Linked DNA regions of Callithrix jacchus. The protein of the gene in region 1 purifies or fractionates together with the protein of each later gene. This does not show direct contact. Links are inferred from orthologs where the notes say so. Each region holds a gene or a part of one and is shown in the gene's direction. Other genes may lie near its edges.

Evidence for each region.
Region 2: the proteins of MAX (region 1) and E2F6 purify together in Homo sapiens (affinity purification with mass spectrometry; 5 studies listed by BioGRID and IntAct, with this or other methods). This does not show direct contact. The link is inferred for Callithrix jacchus from reciprocal best matches to the Homo sapiens genes MAX and E2F6.

Annotation. Positions count from the first base shown.
Region 1 is NC_133509.1:99,766,908-99,778,054, reverse strand, and holds the start of MAX (protein max), read left to right. Parts: upstream 1-4,616; 5' UTR 4,617-4,798; coding exon 4,799-4,834; exon of another isoform or gene 4,835-5,031; intron 5,032-5,563; coding exon 5,564-5,590; intron 5,591-11,147. UniProt on the Homo sapiens protein: Transcription regulator. Forms a sequence-specific DNA-binding protein complex with MYC or MAD which recognizes the core sequence 5'-CAC[GA]TG-3'. The MYC:MAX complex is a transcriptional activator, whereas the MAD:MAX complex is a repressor.
Region 2 is NC_133515.1:103,578,818-103,589,724, forward strand, and holds the start of E2F6 (transcription factor E2F6), read left to right. Parts: upstream 1-3,869; 5' UTR 3,870-4,148; coding exon 4,149-4,256; intron 4,257-10,907. UniProt on the Homo sapiens protein: Inhibitor of E2F-dependent transcription. Binds DNA cooperatively with DP proteins through the E2 recognition site, 5'-TTTC[CG]CGC-3'. Has a preference for the 5'-TTTCCCGC-3' E2F recognition site.

The DNA of each region.
Region 1 (11,147 bases):
ATCACTTGAACCTGGGAGGCAGAGGTTGCTGTGACCCAAGATCATGCCACTGCACTCCAGCCTGGTGACAGAGCTGGAGCTCCATCTCAAAAAAAGAAAAAAAGAGAGATGGTTTTGGGGTCACCATCAGAGAGCTGGTCACCAAATCCTCGGGAGACAGAGGATCCTAACAGGCAGAGGGTGGAAGACAGAGAGATAAGTGCCAACCACAGAGTCCCTGGAATGCAAACAGTGATGGTGGGAAGAACAAAAGCACAGGGATTCTTGGCCTTCAAGAGAAGAGTGGTCAACAGCATAGACGGCCACCATCAGGTCAAATAAGATAAGGGCTTTGGATGTGGCAATAAAGTGGTAGCTAGTGGCCTGAAAAAGAGTGATTTTAGTCAAGTGGTAGTATGGGAGCCAAACTGTAAAGGAGTTAAAGAGATCATGGAAGGCTGGGTGTGGTGGCTCACGCCTGTAATCCCAGCACTTTGGGAGGCTGAGGCGGGCAGATCACAAGGTCAGGCGTTCGAGACCAGCCTGGCCAACAGGGTGAAATCCCTTCTCCACTAAAAATACAAAAATTAGCTCGGCATGATGGTGCACGCCTGTAATCCCAGATACTCAGGAGGCTGAGACAGGAGAATTGCTTGAATCTGGGAGATGGAGGTTGTGGTAAGCTGAGTTCACACCACTGCACTCCAGCTTGGATGACAGAGCGAGACTCCATCTCAAAAAAAAAAAAAAAGAGATAATGGAAGTAGTCTGCCTGCTTACACAATTGCTACTCCACTCCCCCTTCCTCACAGCGCTGAAACTCCAATGTGCATATGAATTACCTGGGCATAATGTTATCATGCAGATCTGATTTAGTAGGTCTGAGGGGGGCCTGAGCTGTGTTTGCAGCTCAGCCCTAATAAGCTCCCCTGGGGTGTTACCAAAGATACTCAGGTGTAGATGAAAATGAGTTCTTGGGGTCTTAGATTCACATCAGAAAAACACTGCAAAGAAACGCTAAAGAAAACTTCTCATCTGTCTCGTTCTTTCCTGCATATATGTGTCATTTAAAAGTTTACTTTTTTTTTTTTTTGAGATGGAGTCTTGCTGTATTGCCCAGGCTCACTGCAGCCTCCATCTCCCAGGTTCAAGAGATTCTCCTGCCTCAGCCTCCCGAGTAGCTGGGATTACAGGAGCCCACCACCATGCCCAGCTAATTTTTGTGTTTTTCATAGAGATAGGATTTCACCATGTTGACCAAGATGGTCTTGAACTCCTGAGCTCAAGTGATCCTCCTGCGTTGGCTTCTCAAAGTGCTAGGATTACAGGAGTGAGCCACTGTCCCTAGCCTAAAAGTTTCTTAAATCTCAAATATATGAGACTTTTCTAGTTAACTTTTTGTTATTTTTCTACTTTAATTGCAATAGGTCCAAGAATACACTAACGTTAAAGTCCTTTAAAAAACTTGTTGAGTGTTGCCTGTGGCTAAGAACGTGGTCAGTTTTTGTAAATGTTCCATGAGTGATTGAAGATAACATATTCTACAACTGTTGGGTGCAGTGTTTTGTCTATTAGGTCAGATCTGTTAATCAGGTTGACAGGTCTTCATATTCTATTGATTACTAAAAGGAGATGTGTAAAAATCTCCAGTCTCCCTACCAGAAAAGGCTTTCCTCCTCACCTCAGTCCACCTTATTCATGATAAGCAAAATATTTGCAGACCCAGCCCTTACCCTAATGGAACTGACAACCTAAGAAGACTTTCCAGGCTGGGTGTGGTGGCTCGCACCTGTAATCCCAGTACTTTGGGAAGCTAAGGCAGGCAGATCACAAGGTCAGGAGTTTGAGACCAGCCTGGCCAACATAATGAAACCCCATCTCTACTAAAATACAAAAATTAGCTGAGCATGGTGGTGCGTGCCTGTAGTCCTAGCTACTCGGGAGGCTGAGGCAGGAGAATTGCTTGAACCCAGGAGGCGGAGGTTGCAATGAGTGAAAATCACGCCACTGTACTCCAGCTTGGGCAACAGAGTGGGACTTCATCTCAAAAAATAAAAATAAGGCCACTTGTGGTGGCTCACACCTGTAATCCCAGCACTTTGGGAGGCCGAGGCAGGTGGATCACAAGGTCAAGAGATCGAGACCAGCCTGGTCAACACGGTGAAACCCTGCCTCTACTAAAAATACAAAAATTAGCTGGGCATGGTGGCACTCACCTGTAGTCCCAGCTACTCCGGAGGCTGAGGCAGAATCGCTTGAACATGGGAGGTGAAGGTTGCAGTGAGCCAGGATGGCACCACTGCACTCCAGCCTGGCAACAGAGCGAGAATCCATCTCTAAATAAATAAATAAGACTTTCCTGATCACCAAGACATCCCCAACCCTACCTCATACCTGGCACTCCTTCTCCTTCCTCAGTTCTTACAGCATTCACTGCATGTACAAACAATTTGACACTTACATAATCTGTCTTTATCACAATTATTTGAGTTGATAATTTACTCCTGTAAGATTTTAAATTCCATGTGGGTGAAGCTTATCTTATTCTTTTATAAGTTTTATTGAAATATAATTATTGACATACCATAAAATTCACTCTTTGGAAGCATACAATTCAGTGAGAGACTATCTTATTTATTCTGGCATCATCTATAGCTGTGATTCCGGTCTTGGGTACACATTGGAATTACTAGAAGAGCTTTGAAAAATCCTTCAGTCTGGCCAGGTGCGGTGGCTCACACCTGTAATCCCAGCACTTTGGGAGGCCAAGGCAGGTGGATTACCTGAGGTCAGACATTCAAGACCAGCCTAACATGGTGAAACCCTGTCTCTACTAAAAATACAAAACTTAGCCAGGTGTAATGGCAGGCACCTGTAATCCCAGCTACTCGGGAGACCGAGGCAGCAGAATCGCTTGAACCCAGGAGACGGAGGTTGCAGAGAGCTGAGATGGAGCCACTGCACTCCAGCCTGGGCGACAGAGCATGACTTTGCCCCCTGCAAAAAGAAAAAAAAAAAAAAAAATCCTTTAGTCTGGATCTCACCTCCAGAGGTTCTGGCTTAAATGGTTTGGGGTGTGGCCTGGGAATGGGAATTTTTTAAAGCCCCTAGGGTGATTTTAACTTGGAGCCGGGATTGTCCTAGAATGCTCTGTACATAGCAGGCACTCAACAACGGTTTCTTGTAATAATCAATTAGCTTTAACTTCTAGTATCCAGTTAATTAACTCACTCAAGAGTGGCCGTCTGTCATCAGCCCTTATCACATAATGGTCTGCTTATGTCTGTCTCCCCAACTCAGCAGGAAAGGAACACGTAGAAAAGGTAAGTTCAAAAGGAATGTATGTCCCAAGAATTGTGTGCGACATATCCCCAAATTTCCACATTCAAAAGTCAGGGATAATATAATTTTCATCCGGGAATCAGTAACTCATGGAAAAGCTCAAAATGTCATTCATTTTGGAGATCAGATGTAAAGGAGTAGTACGGGTACTTTGTCTCAGGGTGGAAAGTGTCTTTTTTTTTTTTTCTTCCCATGGGACTTGTTGCACTCCTAAAATGGCGGCAGGGCAGTCAGGTTTGCTTGCATAGCTGTGAACCACACTAAGGCAGGGATCGTTCTGGTCTTATCCGTTATGGCATCCCCTTGTGGCACATGTTAGGTGTTCAATAAATATTGGTGGAATGGATGTGACTACATTTTACTCCACAGTATGTAAATATGATTTTAACTGGACAGGGAGCTGCACAAGTTTCCCATATTGATCCTTTTTGCAATCTTAATTATGGTACTTGAGCTGGGATATTGCCTAAACTGCCTGGGCTACACAACAAACTCTGAAGGGGTTTTACTTCCAAGTCCACGGTGGTTGAGGGTTCGGGTTCTGTGAATGCTGGAAGCTCACGTGAGTAGCGGAGTGTCGAGGATGGTCACTCTCGGATAAATGAATACAGGATTCTTGCGGCTATGAGCGGTCGCCCGGCGAGGTCGGTCATCCTGCCTGTCCGGTAACTCCACGAAACACCTGCCACTGACACCTCCTCACCAGCTCCCGAGGGTTCGCGCGGGTATCCGGAGCCGTGCCCCCTGGTCCGCCGCAGCCGGATTCCCTCCTGGGCGGGTTACGCCCCAAGACGCAAAGCGAAACCACTCCACATCAAGACTGCAAAGTAAAACCGGTCGCACCAAAGACAGGCAGCGTTATTTAGACAGTCAGCTACTCCCCTAGAGCTTCCACCCAGTCCCCTGGGCCCGGCGCCCAGCGCGCAGACGGTGGCCGGCTCCAGGAGCTCCAGCTCCCTCCACGTGTCCTGTCTTCCCAGCAGCCTCCTCTGCAACCTCGGGAGGAAAACCTCCTGACAACTCGCGGTCTGCGGACTACGACTCCCAGGAGGCACCGCGCCGCGGCTCTCTCCGCCCCGCCCTCTCCCGGATACGCAGGCGCCTTGGGCTCCGTCAACAAGCGGGGCTGGCGTCGCCTGGATTTAGTTTCTTCTGGGATTTGTAGTTTTTCTGGAGCTACCCGGGCCGACCGTCAGAGGGACAAGAACTACAAGTCTCGGCGGCCCCAGCGCTACGAGCCCGATCACGTGGTGAGGGCCGACCGGGCGTGCGTGCCGCCGTTGATCCGGTGCTGCAGTGAGGAGGTGGTTCTCGCCCGTGTTGTGTGTGTGTGTGTGTGAGTGAGAGAGCGAGTGAGTGAGTGAGTGAGTGTGTGTGTGGGGGGGACTCAGCTTGTTGTTGTCGGTGACTTCCCCCTCCCCTCCACCCCTTCCCCTCCCCGCCGCCGCTGCAGTGGCCGCTTCCTGGGCCGTAGGAAATGAGCGATAACGATGACATCGAGGTGGAGAGCGACGTGAGTCCTGGGGCTTCTTCCTTCCAGTGCGGGTTGTCAGGCGGGGACAGCGGCCGGGGCTCTCAGCGGGGCGACGGCGGGAGGGGACCGGGCCGCCGCCGCATCCTTCCCCTTCCCCTTGGGGCCAGGACTGTCTGCGTCGCGTTCCCGGTTCGCTCCGCTCCGGCTCCTGGCTGGAGCGGCCTCCTGGGACTGAGGTGGGGGAAAGACACGCGGCCTCTGGGACCCCTCCCTTCTCCGGCGAGGGAGGGTGCTGCGGCCTCCCCCTCCCATTTTCCCCCGGTCAGGATTCGGGGGACAAAGATGGGGGGCGCCTGGGATCCCATTGTCCGGATCCAGGCGAAGGGGACTGTGCTCAGGAACTGCCCCTTCGGATCGCGATTCTCTCCTCCCATGACCCGCGGATCCTGGGGGGCGAGGAAGGGCGGAGAGGGGTTGAGGGTGCCTAGATGCCCGAGCTGGGTCTGCAGGGAAGAGACAGTGCTCGGGACCCCTCTGGCCCCGGTCGGATCCCGGAAGGAGGGGCGGCGCTCGGGACCCCTCTACCTTGCTACCGGATCCCGCTGAGGGTGGAAGGGTGGGGGCAAGGGGTGGGGAGGGAGGAAGGGGTGTCGGGCTGACTCCCCACCCGCCGCTTCCTCTGCCGCCGGCATTTTCTTTCTTATTACTGAATGTTAAGTGTAAAAATAACTTCTATATTTTCTATTTTTTTTTTCTCTCTTATTCCAGGAAGAGCAACCGAGGTTTCAATCTGCGGTACGTCTCCTACTCTCCATTTCATTTTTATTTCCGTTCAGTTCTATTCTTTTTGGGGTCAGAGAGAAAAAGAGATCGTTCTATTACTTTTAATATGGTAGTAAACCCTAATGTTAACCATTAAGGTGAGGCGGGGCCTGGTTCTGGAGGGCGGGGGTGTTGCAGATCCCATAATTCTAGATGCTCAGGTGATAAGTTCAGTGACTCTAGGTGACTGAGAGGAGCTGTATGCAAAGAATTGAATTGTTCTGTAGTTTTCAGATAGGGGATTCAGCTGCCACTATATAAGTGGAAATGAGAAATGCAGCATTTTGAAGTCGTTGGTAGTATTACTTAAGGGCAAAGTGGTTAGAAGATTTACTTAGGACCAGGTAGGTTTTAAACCATATCTGCATAATTGTGTGAAGCTGAAGCCACATGTAATAATCGCCTTTAACCAAGTCATGTGACTGCTGTAGACCCGTAGAATCTAGCACAACATGGTATTTTAGTGCAAAAATTGGAAATGTAGAAGAGCCAAAGGTTGCATCATGAGAGTGTCACATACGGTTGTTATGGTCTGACTCTGTATTTGAAGAAGAGGTATAAAGAAAACTAAAAAATAGTTGAAGAAAAGTGGCACTGCAGAGACAGCTTTGCTGAAAGGTGATGAAACCATGCAATTTTATCAATAATTTCTTAGGGTTTTGATATTAATGTTCTCAGTAGATGGTTCTGTGGATTTAGATAAGACTAATTTCATGTCTTTGGAGTCTGAGACAGTAATAAGGGTGTTTCATGAATAGATTAGAGGGAAAAAATAATACACATAGAATAAATCAGAATCAGAGAGGGGAAGAGAAGTGTATCAGAGTGTCTAAAATTTGACAGTTGGGAACAGTAAGAAGTGTATAGAATAGGGGTTAAAAAATTCTAATGCTCATGGGGGGCTGTCAAGAGTAAAGAAGAGGGAAGAGGTGAAGACTTGGGGTACTGGAGGGCAATGCCTCCTCTAAAAAGTCAGCCACTACTAAATTCCAGTGGTTTGTTATGTAGGAGTGCAGGATCAGTATTGCCAGATCTTCCTGTTTTTAAGAAAGATGGCCAGGCATGGTGGCTCACACCTGTAATCCCAGCGCTTTGGGAGGCAAAGGTGGGAGGATCACCTGAAGTCAGGAGTCCAAGACCATCCTGGTGAACATGGTGAAACCCCTGTCTCTACTAAAAATACAAAAAATTAGCCAGGCATGGTGGCAGGTGCCTGTAATCTCAGCTACTCTGGATGCTGAGGCAGGAGAGTTGCTTGAACCCAGGAGGCAAAGGTGACAATGAGCCATTACACTCTAGCCTGGGAGACAGAGCAAGACCCCATCTCAAAAAAAAAAAAGAAATCCAAACTTTATATGTTCATTTTTCTGATTTTTAATATGTGTGGAACAACTCTTTGGGGGCTTGTTAGAATTTGCAGGATCTTACTTTGATGCCTCTGGTATAAGAACTTAATAACCACACGATAAAGGCAGGCCATCTCGGTTGTACCTGCTCTTCATTAGAGCAAGCAAAGATTGTACAGTTTGTCTAAGCAGATGGGTATTAAGAAAACTTATTTATTGAGAGCTGATATTTCCATAAGATCCGAGGATGTAGTTGTTCCAGAAGTCTTAAAAATTATCCCTGGATAATAGTCATTAAGAATAATTTGTTTTGTTTTATTTATCTTTGAAGTATTCTCATATACATATATTTGAAAATCGAATTCCTTTTTTTAATTTACTTTTACTCTTCATGTTTGGGGCCTAGTCTTTTTAAAACTTTTTTTTTTTTTTCCCCTGCAAGTCTCCAGTTGTAAAATCTGCCAGGGCTTAATCAGGGTTGGAGGGTAAGGATCGTTTAGGCCTCCTTTGCAGAATTATCCTTTGAATTGAAATTATATTGACTTCCCAGTAAGAGAAAAGGGTTCTTTTTTTGGTGACATTTTGGTTCACAGTTCTTGAAAGCTTCTGCTTTTCAAAATATTTGTCCACATGAGTGTTGATGTAAATTTGTTTATGAAATTATTGCTGTGTTTCGGCTTTCCTGGAATGCTAATCTCATTGTTTTGTCTAGATATTTTTAGTTTGCTATTAAGGTGCCTAGAATTTTTCCTTTTGATTTTGAGGGTAGGCAAGGGAAGTTGGTTTGACACTTTGTTTTTAATTTAACACATCTATTTATTGAGAGTTCTAAGTATTATCCCGCATAGTATAACTATAACAGCATGGAGAGAAAAAGCATATGTGTTAGACAGATTTTTTAGTATATCAAACAACTATTGTGAATGTGTAGGGTAAAAAGGATTCCATTTTTCCCCCTCTGTGAATGCATCTGCTTACTTCTCAAGATTTAATATAGATAATAAATAGATATATTTTTTAATTTGGGAGAAAACCATTCTTAAGTTTAGCCTTAGAAAAAAGGTTTAAAAAAAATGTGGACTGTGAACAACCAAATGCTTAGGTATTTAGGACTACAGAAGAAATTGAAAAAAGTTATTTGAAAAAGGTTCTGTGGATCCTAATAGAAAAACATTCATGTGTGTTTTCTAATGTTGCTATGATATCTAGGCCTTACTGCATGAGAAATGGAAGATACTGAGAACAGAGTTAGGAAGTTAGGCTAACTCTAACAGAAAGTGAAACCGATTTGGCAAATATTTTTTTATGTTGCAGTACAAATGGAAAACAGCTTCTCCAATGACCCAAGGAAGTAATCCCAAAGAGTATTCTTATTGCTAAATTCGACACATCACAGAATCCCACTGATGTTATCTTATTTTTATTATATTTTGGAGGGAAATAGTTGTATTTTAAAGATAAATTTCTGGGGCAGATATATTATATGCAAGGACTTCCTTTTGCTTTATTTCCGTTTGGGAAATTTCTTTAGGAAAGAGTGAAAATATACAAGAAATGTATGGGTTAATGTGTTGGTCAGGAAATGCAAGTTTTTTTTTTTCCAATCGCCGCCGTCCTTCATGGCATCTGAATGAGTTGCAGTTGCAGTATACCTATTAGGGGTTTGAAAACAGATCTATGCAATTTCACTTCTGGACTTTATTGGTATGAAATATGTTTAACTTTGTAGAGCTCTTTGCTTCTTTAGGAATTCAGGAGAGAACAAGCTTGGTCTGCTTTGAGATTGGAATTCACTCAGGAACCTTCAGTCTGTTTTACCTGCAGTCAGTTGCATGGCAGAAGGGCTGCACGATGCATGTACTTTTTCTCTGCTTAGAGTGTTGACAGTGAAAACAGAAATGCCAAAGTTAGTTCCTAAACGTGCCTATGTTAGAGTAAAACTTGGTCTTATGTCTAAAAGAATTTTTTCAAGATGCCAGTAATGGTGAAATAGTTGGTCAAAGAATTCAACTTGGTTTTTAATTAAAATTTCCTAACCAAGGCATCCTTCTCTGAAATGGCTGTAGTATGAGGCCCTGTTTGGATAAGAGCATTCCACAGTTCTTTTAGGCACCAAATGAAAAAAGTTTTGAAAACAAATACATATATTAGATAATGTTGGAAATATATACCAGGTAATCAGCTACAAGCAGGACAGGTATTGGAAAATTAAAATTGATGTCTTTCTGTTAGGGAGCTTGGTGAGTTTATCCCATTCTGGCTGCCCATTCTTTTATAATTTTGGGGTTGATTCAAATGAATATTTTAAGTTGCTTAGAAATCAAACTTTATCCTATCTGATCCTTATCTAACAGAAGTAAGAAATAGATCTTTTCTGATGAGAATTTTGGGCCTGTGTATTCTCAGTTATCCTTAATCTCTAATGAGAATAGCTTGATAGGAATCAAGAGCAACACTAGCTTCCCTCTATAATACAACCTTCACATTTTGTAAAGATAGTAAATATTTCATGAGCAACTAATTCTCTATATGCTGAGAATTTTCCGTATTAGAATTGAGATGATTCCCCTTATAGGTAGGGTTAGCTGTCAGGTAGCCTGCAAGACATAGCATTGTTCTGGAGAACCTTGTGCATCCTGGAATAATGAGCCATTTGTTTCCCCATGCTGTTTGCCTAGAACTTGGAGGAAATAAGTTTACTGACTGATGTGATGCCTTGAACAAAGATGCAGTCTCTGTGCAGGAAGTTGGAAGGAAATAATTTTAAGAGATTTCCCTCAATTTTGAATAGACCTCCTTAGTTTAGATGACTTCTTGGCTAGTGTAACAACTTCTTGGCTAACAAAATAATGTTTGCCTTCAACATCTAACAACATTTAAGATACATGTGCTTGGTAGTGTCAAAGGTGGACAAATTGTAGGTGGAGATTTTTATTCTGGCTACCAGTGTGGAAAGTTGGGTAGAAATGTAAAGGAGAGGCTGAATAAAAACCTTGGCAGAGATGTCAAAGCTGGAAGTGATTTGGTGTGGGAGTGTCTGTTGAGCATCTGTGGATCACTGTATAGCCCCTTAGTGTTTCTGTTAGGGATGCCCTGGAGGAAGGGTTTTCTGGCAGAAGTCGATATATACAAATCCAGTATACTTGAAGAGCAGGCAGCGTGGAGCCACTGTTCCCATAGGATGTGTAGGGGAGTCTGCTGTATAGTCCAGGAATACCTCTGTTGTCTCCTAGAATAGGGCCTAATTAAGTCCACAAAGGGGCTTTTCGTACCATTCGTTTTTATTATTAAACATCATTCTCAGTACAGGCTCATCTGAGTAGAGTTTTTTTTTGTTCAAGACGATTGTTTGGCCCCGTTTTTTAAAACCAGTATTGTGGGAGGATACTAGATGCCTTACACTGGGAGTCTTCACCCAGTTTTTCTTCTTCAACTCTGAAATCTTGGCCCTCTCAAAAAGGGTTGCCAGCAAGTGAAGACAGTTAACAAGGCAATGATAAAGCCTGCAAGCCAGCCCTCCAGTGGGGGTGAGGGTGAGGGTGAGGGTGAGGTGCAGGCAGTGTTATCCGGCTGGGTGGATCTGTGGTTTGGAAATGTTTTCCAAAGAGCATTCTCAGCCTTGTGTAAAGGTTTTTCGGTTTTTTATGTGCTCTTTCAAAACACCAGTGATATCATTTAATTCAGATTTGCCTGGAATTAGGCTTGTCAGTTATGCATGTTTTTAACTTGCTCTTTTAAATCAGGTTTGGGGAAGAGAAAATATATCCTCGCCATTGTCTCTGAGAGGTTTAAAATTGACTCCAGTAGTAGCTCAGGGATGGACACGGCAGCAGGGATTGGTCAAAGATTCTACTTTTCTACTAGTTAAATTGGGCCTGGAACCACTACAGAAATTCCATCCACTACTTTGAGAACAACAGTCCCCAGCCCAGGCTTTCTACCAGGCAGTGGACTGCTGCCTTTCCTTGTTGAGCCAACTTCTCAAACTTGGCTGGCTCCTCAGATGAGAAGCCAAGATTTCTGCTCATGGTCTACAGCCAAGTTCATTTACAATCCTCTAACCGAGAGACTTGTCCATTTGAGTCCTTTCAGAGTTCAGTGAATGGGAGGTGGGTAGTGCACTGTGGGGATGATTTTAGTGTTAAATTATACTTAGCTCCACCCCTCTAGTGCAGGTCCATGTG
Region 2 (10,907 bases), on another chromosome or scaffold:
AAATGAAATTAAAATTTAAAAAAAAGCAGCCATATTTTCAAGTGCCAATGGCCACACGGGGCAGTAGCCGCCATGTGGGACAATGCAGAACATTCCCATCATCACAGAAAGCCCTAGTGGATACTAGTCATTTCGTCACGGACCTCTGGAGAGGACATTTTCAAGCAGAAGGGAAGTAAAATATCCTCTGACAGGTGAGGCCTGTCAGCATTGCTCAAGCACACCTGTGTGCTTGGCCTACATTTCATCCCTAACTTCAGAAATAAGCCCTGGAAGTACAGCCTTCAGCCCTAACTTAGAAGTCCCAAAGCGCATGCCCCATTCTGCCCTAGCACCATTTTGCCCCAGGAAGCACACACAAAAACAGTGCTGGAACTGGGAAATATTAGAATTTCTGTGCTGGGAACTGTGACTGTATACCATGCAAGACCATGGCGGACAAGGCCAAGGGTATAATGGCTAAAGTCCTGGTATTCGAGTCCCCATGCAACTGGAGCAAACTTCTCTGAGCCTCCGTACACTCTTCTACAAAGTATTCTTTTTCTGTTTTTTTTTTTGAAACAGGGTCTCACTCTGTTGCCCAGGCTGGAGTGCAGTGGTGCAATCTCGGCTCACTGCAACCTCTACCTCCCGGGTACAAGTGATTCTCCTGCCTCAGCCTCCTGAGTAGCTGGGATTACAGGTAGGCACCAACACACCTGGCTAATTTTCATATTTTTAGTAGAGATGGGTCAGGCTGGTCTCAAACTCCTGACCTCAAGTGTTCCTCCTGCCTCAGCCTCCCAAAGTGCTGGAACTACAGGCGTGAGCCACCACACCTGGCTTTCTATAGAGTATTCTTGAAATAGCTACCTCACAGGGAGACGTGTGAAAAGGCACCTGTAGTTTACAGTTCACTCCGTTAGTTTTTTCTTCCTCTGTTGTGCTGCTATTGTGTGTTAGACATACTCTAATTTAGTTCTTATGCTTTCTGATTATGAGTCTCCACCAGGCTGGAACAAGGTAAGGCCCCATCAGATTCAGTCCTCCCCTCAACACCTACCCTACTGCTCGGCACCTGAGAGATGCTCATACAGAAGTGCAAAAGGCCAGGCCCGGTGACTCACGCCTGTAATCCCAGCACTTTGGGAGACCAAGGCAGGCGAATCACCTGAGATCAGGAGTTTAAGACCAGCCTGGCCAGCATGGCAAAACCCCATCTCTACTAAAAATACAAAATTAGCTGGGTGTGATGGTGCATGCCTGTAATCCCAGCTACTCAGGAGGCTTCAGCAGGAGAATCGTTTGAACCCAGGAGGCAGAGGTTGCAGTGAGCTGAGATCATGCCATTGCACTCCAGCCTGGGAAACAAGAGCGAAACTCCGTCTAAAAAAAAAAATGTGCTAAAGATTATGTCTCGGGGAAAAGCCAGGTCACAGGTGAGGATTGTGCCATTTCCCTGACTCTCCCCAGCTCTGTGCTCATGCTCTTTGTTTAGCCTGGAGCACCTGCTACCCCCGTCCTGATCCACACCCCACCTTTACTTGCCCAACCCCATCTCTGGCTATAGAGAATCTAGTAGTCCTTCAAGAATCTTCCCAAAGATCTGAATGCCAAATGAATTAATCAGTTGTGGAGTCAAAAAGCCTGCCTCTACCACTGCCTACCTAGGACCTGGTAAATTTTTGTAATTCTGCCTATCTTAATTTTGCTGATCTGTAAATTGGGCAGAAAAATATCTATCTTTCAGTTTTGATATGAGATTTACATAAGCAATAGTATGAGGAATGCCAAACACATAGCAGATGCTGAATAAATGCCTTGAAAATGGCCATTTCTAACAGCTCTGGGAAATTCTCCATTCCTCAACAGTACACCGTCTCCTCAATACCTCCGCTAGGTTTTTTTTTTTTCTCATCATTTACTTAGCAAATATTAACTGAGCATGTTTTATTTGCCACTGCTGTGCTAGATGATTGAGATACAAAGATTAGAAGCCAGGCATGGTGGCTCTCACCTATAACTCCAGCACCTTGGGAAACTGAGGCAGGAGGGTCGCTTAAGGTAGGGAGTTAAAAAGAAAAAAAAATTAGCTAGGCATGGTGGCACCTGTACTCCCAGCTACTTGGGAGGCTTAGCTGGGAGAACACTTGAGGCCAGGAGTTTGACCCTACAGTGAATTATGATCATGCCACTGCCCTCCAGTATGGTTGACAGAAAAAAAAAAAAAGATTAGAGAAGCCTCTGACCTCATAGTCTAGTGGGGAACCAGCTTCCTTGGGAAGCTTTCCCTGCCTCACCTCGCCCACCTCAGGCTGGGTAAAAACCCCCAGTCTAACCAATTGTTTCCCTCCAACCCCGTACATATCACAGTGTATTGCCTTTTTATTTCAAACACGTGCTGGTCTCTGTTCCAATCACAGCAGCCTGTGTCCATTAATCCATTTAATCCTCACAACAACCTTATCAAGTAAGTATTGTCATTATTTGCCTTTTCCAGACAAGGAGACTGAGGCACAGACAGATTAAGTAACTGACTAATAAGGTCTTCTAGTTTATAAGTAGAAGCAGCCAAGATTTGAAAACACACCTTCTAGCTCCAGCTTAATTAACATGCTCTGTTTACTTATCTGTCCCCACTGAAATTGGAGGTTGAACCCATGGCATATTCAAATGAGTAAATATCTCCTGTACCCACCCCATTACCTGACACAATAAGTCAACAATAACTCATTCATCAAACAGGAGGAAAGGAGGAAGGAAGGGAGGGAGGGAGGGAGAGAGGAAGGGAGGGAGGGAGGAGAGAAGTAAAACAATTCCACAGAGGTTTGGTTACCCACATTTACTAAGCATCAACACTGACCAGCCTGTGCCATGAATAAATGAAGCCTGGGTGTGGTGGCTCATGCCTAAAATCCCAGCGCTTGGGAGACCAAGGTGGGAAGATGGCTTGAGCCCCAGAGTTCAAGACCAGCCGGGGCATATACTGAGACCTTTTCTCTACTAAAATTAAAATTAAAAATTAGCCAGGCGCAGTGGCTTATGCCTGTAATCCCAGCACTTTGGGAGGCAGAGGCAGGAGGATCACCTGAGGTCAGGAGTTTGAGACCAGCCTGACCAACATGGAGAAACTCCATCTCTACTAAAACTACAAAATTAGCCGGGTGTGGTGGCGCATGCCTGTAATCCCAGCTACTTGGGAGGCTGAGGCAGGAGAATCGCTTGAACCGGGAGGCGGAAGTTGCACTGAGATGAGCTCACACCATTGCACTCCAGCCTGGGTGACGAAAGCAAAACTCCACCTCAAAAGAAAAGAAAAGAAAGAGAGGCAGGCAGGAAGGAAGGGGAAGGAAGGGGAAGGAAGGGAAGGGAAGAAAGGAAAGAAAGAAAAAGAAAGAAAGAAAGAAAGAAAAAGAAAGAAAGAAAGAAAGAAAGAGAAAGAAAGAAAGAAAGAAAGAGAGAGAGAAAGAAAGATTAGCTGGGTGCAGTGGAGCGCGCCTGTAGTCCCAGCTACTCTGGAGGCTGAGGTGGGAGGATTGCTTGAGCCTGGGGATTCGAGGCTGCAGTGAGCTGTGACCACACCACTACACTTCAGCCTGGGAGACAAAAAAAAATTATTTTTTAAAAAAGAGAATAAATGAACATCTGTGCAGCTCAGAACTTTCAGTTATCAGCGTCGAGAATTCCAGGCGGGCGCTGCGTTTTCCCCGGCTGCTGCTTTCTATTCTCTCACCCCCGTCCCCTTCCTCTAAAATCCAGCTCCACCTCTTCTTTTTCCTTTGCCGTCCTCTCCGTGAACACCGCGGTCCGGGTTTTCAAGGCTCCGGCAGCCAGGAGAGGATCGCTGCGTGGGAGCGTTCCGGCCGCGGAGGGCATGCGCGGGGGGCGGTACAGTGCGCATGCGGGAAGATGGCGGTCCAGGCGACCTGAGAGGCGCGGGTTTCCCTCCTCCTGTCTCGTCTGCGGCCGGAGCTCCAGGGCACGTGAAGCCGTGGCGCGTTTTCCCGCAGGCGGGACGGCCTAGCCGGGCGGCGCCTCGGAGCAGGCCGCAGACCCGTTAAGTGCTGGGCCCTTGGAAATCGGCGCTTGGGGGGCGGCGCTCGAGCTAGGCGCGAGAGGGCGGGAGAGCTCTCGGGGTGCGAGGGGAGCGGGACGCCCGGCTGGGCAACATGAGTCAGCAGCGGCCAGCGAGGAAGTTGCCCAGTCTCCTACTGGACCCGGCGGAGGAGACAGTTCGCCGTCGGTGCCGAGACCCTATCAACGTGGAGGGCCTGCTGGTAAGCGCCGGGACGGGACGGGCGCGGGCGGGGGTCTCCCAGATCCGGCCCCCTCCTCCCCGCGCTGCCGCCAACCCCTCGGGTCGTCGTCTCGGTCGTTTGCTCCCCCTGGACCAGGCGCTGCCCGTCACGTGCTGCGAACTGCGCTCTCCCGCCTTTCTGGTTTCAGCGCCTGCTCGCAGACGTGGTGTCAGTCTTCTTCCCTTTTACGTCGGAACTTGAGGGCACTGTTGGAGAAAATTGCTCAACTTTGCATTAGAAAATCCATGTTTTTCTCCTTCTTCCAACTCTAGCTGTACCTCTGCAACCTATCATTTGTTCTCTTCTGCCTCCTCTCCCATCCTTTTACTCTACTGCAGCCGTTTAAAACCTTGTCCACGCTTCATATTTCCCACGTCACAGCTCCCGTTCAGCACATTATCTCCCCACCTGTTTGACAGAGAAAATGTTTAGGAGATTTGGCTCCCCTTCCTGCCAAAGCTGATTTTTTATACTCTTGTTCTCGACCAGCAGTTTTACTCTCTGCAGTTTTCAGGGCCCTTAACAAATGCATCCTTTTCCATTTCTCTCGTATTTTCTTTTTCTTTCTTTTTTTTTTTCTTATCCTTTTTCTTTCTTTCTTTCTGGGTTTTCTTTCACCCCCGAGATGGAGTTTTACTGTTGTTGCCCAGGCTGAAGTGCAATGGCGCAATCTCAGCTCACTGCAACCTCCGCCTTCCAGGTTCAAGCGATTCTCCTGCCTCAGCCTCCCAAGTAGCTGGGATCATAGACATGCGCCACCACACCTGGCAAATTTTTGTATTTTTAGTAGGGATAGGGTTTCACCATGTTGGCCAGGCTGGTCTCGAACTCCTACCTCAGGTGATCCACCCGCCTCGGCCTCCCAAAGTGCTGGGATTACAGGCGTGAGCCACTGCCCCCAGCCTCTCCCCATAGTTTTCATTTCTTTGCTGCTTTCTTCCTATAACTACTAGTAATTAAACATTTCCCAAGCCATTAATTCTGGTCCCCATGCCAAATAGTTTGTGATCATTGCCTAATTTCTCGCAGCAGTGTTTTATAATAAAAGATGATTATTCTTGTTTTACGGTTGCCAAAACAGACTTGGAGATGTATGTAATGCTGGCTTGCCTGTGGCTAGATAGTAAGTGGAGAAACTTGGGTTGAACCTCCAAGTTTCAACCAAATGATACATTCTTCACTACTAAAACTGCATTGTAAATCCATCCCCATCTTAAAAGATCACTCCCTTAATTGATCACTCCCATATTCCCTCCCATCTACTGTCTCTCTTCCCCTTCACAGCTAAACTTGAAAAAGTTATTTACACTCACTGTTACACTTGATCGTCCCTTATTACCACCTAACCCACTCCTGGGGACCCCTACCCTAAGCACACCTCTAAGAAGACCTTGCTAACTGACAATTTTGTCAGTTCCATCAGCTGTTGGGTTGTGAACAATCTTGTCATTTCCATCAGCTGTTGTAGTTTTGACACAACTCTCCCTTGAGTTTCCTTGACATTGATACTCCATCTGCTTCTCTGGCCTCTCCTTGTCCTCATCCTCTTCCCATTCCTTCATGTTGATTTTGTTTGTTTGTTTCTCCGGGACAGACTCTCACTCTGTCACCCTGGCTGGAGCGCAGTGCCATGATTATGGCTTACTGAAGCTTCGACCTCCCAAAGTGATCCTCCTGCCTCTGCCTCCCAAGTAGCTGGGACCATAGGCACATGCCACCACACCTGGCTAATTTTTAGTTTTTATTTTTAGAGATGGAGGCCTCCCTACAAGGCCCAGGCTGGTCTTGAACTCCTGGGCTCAAGCATTCTTCCCACCGCAGCTGGCCATATGTTGATGTTATTCGGGTTCTCTTCTACCATCTCTACACATTCTTCTTAGGGGAGTTCATTCACTCCTCCCATGACTTCTGTTACTATCTACATTTGATCCTTGACTCAGGGATTGGGGCACCAAATCCCATGAAATTCAAAATCTGAATATAATTTTGACTCCCTCAAACGTTTACTGTATCCTGGAAGCCTTACTGATAATGTAAACAGTTGATTAACACTTCTTTTATGTTTACCTGTATTAGATACTGTATTCTTATAATAAAGTAGCTAAAGAAAAGAAAATGTTATTAAGAAAATCATAAATAAGAGATAGCCTTTATTGAGGGGAATTAGATCATCGTAAAGGTCTTTATCTTGTCGTCATATTGAGTAGGCTGATGAAGAGTAAGAGGAGGAATTGGTTTTGCTAAATAAGGGGTGGTAGGGGGTGAAGAAAATTGACATATAAGTGGACCCACACATTTAAAACGTGTGTTATTTGAGAGTCAAACTGTGTATTGGTACCATCTGTATTGGTGGTCTTAAAATATGAGAATTTGATAAAAACTCAGCTCACTGTGGAAAAACCACTTCGCATGTAATATCAGCAGATAGAGACATCCCTTGAAATCTTAGACATATACTTCTGGTATTTTCAGTTACCATGTCACAATTCCCAAATCTATAAATCTCCCTCAGGGTTTTCCAACTGTCTGCTAGACTTTCCTTACTTAGGTTTCAAACTCCTGTTAATCCCCCCATCTGAGGTTTCACTTTCCTTGATTTTAGTTAACCTGTGGTCTCCCAAAATATTAAAATTTAAATGAAAATTTAAAATAAACAATTCATTAGTATTAAATTGCTTGCCATTTCAGCAGTGTGATGAAATCTCCAGATGTCCAGTACTACCCAGCACCCAAATCTTCCTTTGTCCAGAGTTCCCATGCTGTCTTTGCTCTCTGCCCTTAGTCTCTTAGTAACTGTCTCGATTCTCAGAACAACTGTCACCGTGCTTGTGTTCAAGTAACCCTTATTTTACTTAGTAATGGCCCCAACGCACAAGAGTAATGATGCTGGCAATTCCAGTATGCCTAAGAGAATTGATGAAGGTGTTTCCTTTAAGTGAAAAGATCTAAGTTCTTAGTAAGGAAAGAAAAAAATACCTTATTCTAAGGTTGCTAAGATCTACAATATAATAAGATATTTTGAGAAAGAGACCACATTCATAAAACTTTCATTGTAGTATATTGCTGTAATTGTTCTATTTTATTATTAGCTGTTAATCTCTTACTAGGCCCGATTTATAAATTAAACGTTATCACAGGTATGTATGAATAGGAAAAAAATAGTATACACAGGGGTTTGGTACTCTTTGTGGTTTTAGGTATCCACTGTGGTTTTAGATACACAGGGTGGACTACTGTATATCTAAAATTAAAGTTATTGCTGTATCGATCAGGGTTCTCCAGAGAGACAGAGCAATACTAATACAGATTTGGTACCAGGAATGGTTCTAGGGGAACAGAATTTTAAGGATGAGTTTCCTTAATTGGGATTTTTAGAACTGGTTCTTTAATCTGATTAGAACCTAAAAATGCCAAGGGCTCTACTTCTCATAGAGAGAGCACTGGTAGCCCTTGACTCGAACTGTTTATAGATATGCAGAATACATGCCTTTGACATTATAATTCACCACTTAGAAGAGGCAAATAATTGAGTGACACTTTCAGACATTTTTGGAAAAACAAGGATTATGATGGCGTTGGTTGGTTGCTCCTAGTGTCTTTAAACAACATGACGAAAGAAAAGGATGAGCTCGGGGATTCAGTTTCATGACTGGAGCGCTACATAAGTGACCTAAAAGTTTCTAAGTGTGCCCTGGGTTAGAGTTTTCTATCCTGTAGCCACAGGGCTGAAACTCCTGAAAATGAAACACAAGCCTTCATCGTGCAACTGGCATATCACAATGAAAGTTGAACTCTCTTAGCCTCGCGGAGCATCTACTGTTAAAGTGAGGGTATTGGTTGGGAAAGAGTGAGATCTCTGCAAGTTTGTATGGGATTATGTGGGAAGATGAGGCTGGACACATTGAGCCCCTAAATTCGGATGAGTCTTGTTTGCCAGAGGGGCAGTAGCATTTCCACCTACAGTGGTATCAGCCTTTCCATCCCTTTCTGGGGGGATTGATTCTGCATTGCCTGTGAAAATAGTAATGGCCTCCTCTGAAACATTGCTAGTTCCCAGCCAAGACAATGCTGATTCTCATCAGGACCCATCCCCACCACCCCTCTTTGCATCTAGACCTATAACTAGACCCAAGTCCCAACAGGCCTTTAAAGGTGAGGTGCAAGTATGACCCATTCCATTTCTAGTACCAAATATGTATTAGGTTTCTCTGGAGAGACAGAACCAATAGTGTGTATATATATATATATATATATACACACAATCATGTACTGCATGATTCGGTGAGTGGTGGACCACATATACGGAGGTAGTCCTGTGAGATTATGATAGAGCTGAACAATTTCTGTCACCTAGTGACATTGTGGCCATCATAATGGTCTTAACACCAAACATTACCTTTTCTATGTGTAGATGCACAAATACCATTGTTAGTTACCGTCGTCTGCAGTATTCAGTCAATCATATGCTATACAAGTTTGCAGCCTAGCAGCAATAGGCTATACCATATAGCCTGGGTGTGTAGTGGGCTATGCCATCTACGTTTGTTTAAACACTGTGATGTTCACACAACAAAATCACCTAATGATTCTAAGAAGATGCATGATTGCATGTGGAGATACGAGAGGGGATTTATTAGGGAAGTTGGCTCATGTTTATGAAAACTGAGAAGTCCCACACAGGCTGGCTGGCTGCAAGCTGGAAACCCTGGGATGCTGGTTACATGGCTCAGTCCGAGTCCATAGCATGAGAACCTTGGAAGCTGCTAGGGTAACTCCTGGAATCCAAAAGTCAGGGAGTCTGAAGTTGTCATCCAAGCACAGACCGGAAAGAGGGTCCCAGAGGATCTGGACTTCGAGAAGGGAGAAAATAGCCTTGGTTAGAGGTAGAACTTGGTCTGCATATTGAAAAATAAGGAAAACTGGAATGAGTGAGAATGTAATAATTTTGAGAATGGTATATTTCCAAAGACCTCTTGAAGGAATATTGGTCCCCAAAACAGAATTGGTACAGAGAAACATCTGTATACAGCGATGTCTAACCAGCTTGTAGGCACTGCTTTGCATTTTAGTCTTTGAAATTCACATTTTCTTTATTTCTTCCACCTTTGAAGAAGCTCTTCATAGCTACACATAAAAGTATACCTGTTTAGATAGGTGGTTTGGAGCAGTGGTGAAATAGCTTGGAACTTGAAAAAATACGCGGTCTTGCCGCAGAAGCTGCTGGCTCCAAGAGAGCTGTGTGCTCTGTCAGGGCCCGAGAGCAGCCTAGTGATTTTCATTTTGTAAATTTCTGCCTTCTGCATTCATTTTGCAGCTAACATGCAAACAATCTACCTACTTACCATCTTTCTATTTATCTGTATATGCTGTCTGCCCCTGAGGGGCAATGGTACTATTGTGATTCCTCAAGAGAGTGTTTTTATGCTCAAAGAGGAAAAAAAGAATGCTGTTGGAGACTGTTTTCCCACATATATCAATATAGCCAATATGTAGTGGAACTGCATTAATAGCAAAGAGTAGGGAAAACAAAGCCATCTTTTTTCGTATGCCTAATTGAGGTGTTATCCCTGTACCAGCCTGTGATCCACTGCCTAGATGAGATGGGTAGGGCGGTGTGGAGCAGAGAAGATGCCCCTCTAGAATGCGTAGGTAGGTAGTGAGGCAGCCTCTTTGGGAGCCAGTATGTAAGACCTGAATTAAGAACAGGAACCTCGAAGCCGGGCACTGTGGCTCAAGCCTGTAATCCCAGCACTTTGGGAGGCCGAGGCGGGTGGATCACGAGGTCAAGATATCGAGACCATCCTGGTCAAAATGGTGAAACCCCGTCTCTACTAAAGATACAAAAAATTAGCTGGGCGTGGTGGCGCGTGCCTGTAATCCCAGCTACTCAGGAGGCTGAGGCAGGAGAATTGCCTGAACCCGGGAGATGGAGGTTGCGGTCAGCCGAGATCGCGCCATTGCACTCCAGCCTGGGTAACAAGAGCGAAACTCTGTCTCAAAAAAAAAAAAAAAAAAAAAAAAGAACGGGAACCTCTACACCAAGGCACCTCTGAGCTTATATATAATAATTTAGGATATTTGTTTATATGTGTTTCAAATCAATATGATAAGGATGAATTTTTTTTCTTTTCATTCAAGAATCTTCTTACAATAGCTGGCCTGTCTCATACTGCTAGCAAGGGTAAAATGTAAAAATAGCAGTGGCAGTTGGTTGCACTTGTCTAGTGTCTGACTGTAGGACCACTTCAGAGTTTCACTGTTGGATACCGTGTTTGCAAGTCACCATTGTTACCACTGTTTGAGAGAGCTGGCCAGACACTGTCCCTGCCCCCAAGGCCAGCATTCCTGGCCCGTCTGTGTGTTCAGTTCTGACAACTAAGTTAATTTTACAGTGGGATTCTATCTTGATGGAAGTATTCCATATCAGGTTAATTTGCTGGTAGATGCTGTGGTCTTGTCATAGAGGGTAAGGAAATCATTGTGCCAAGAATATTGTTAATATTAACAAAGAGCTTCTTAACTGCTTACCTTGCCTTCAGGCCTGCTCATTTCCCAGTCCTTTGCTGTATTGCTGCCATACTTACATTTCTAAACCATTTACTTCATTATGTCCTAGTCTTGTTCAGAAAC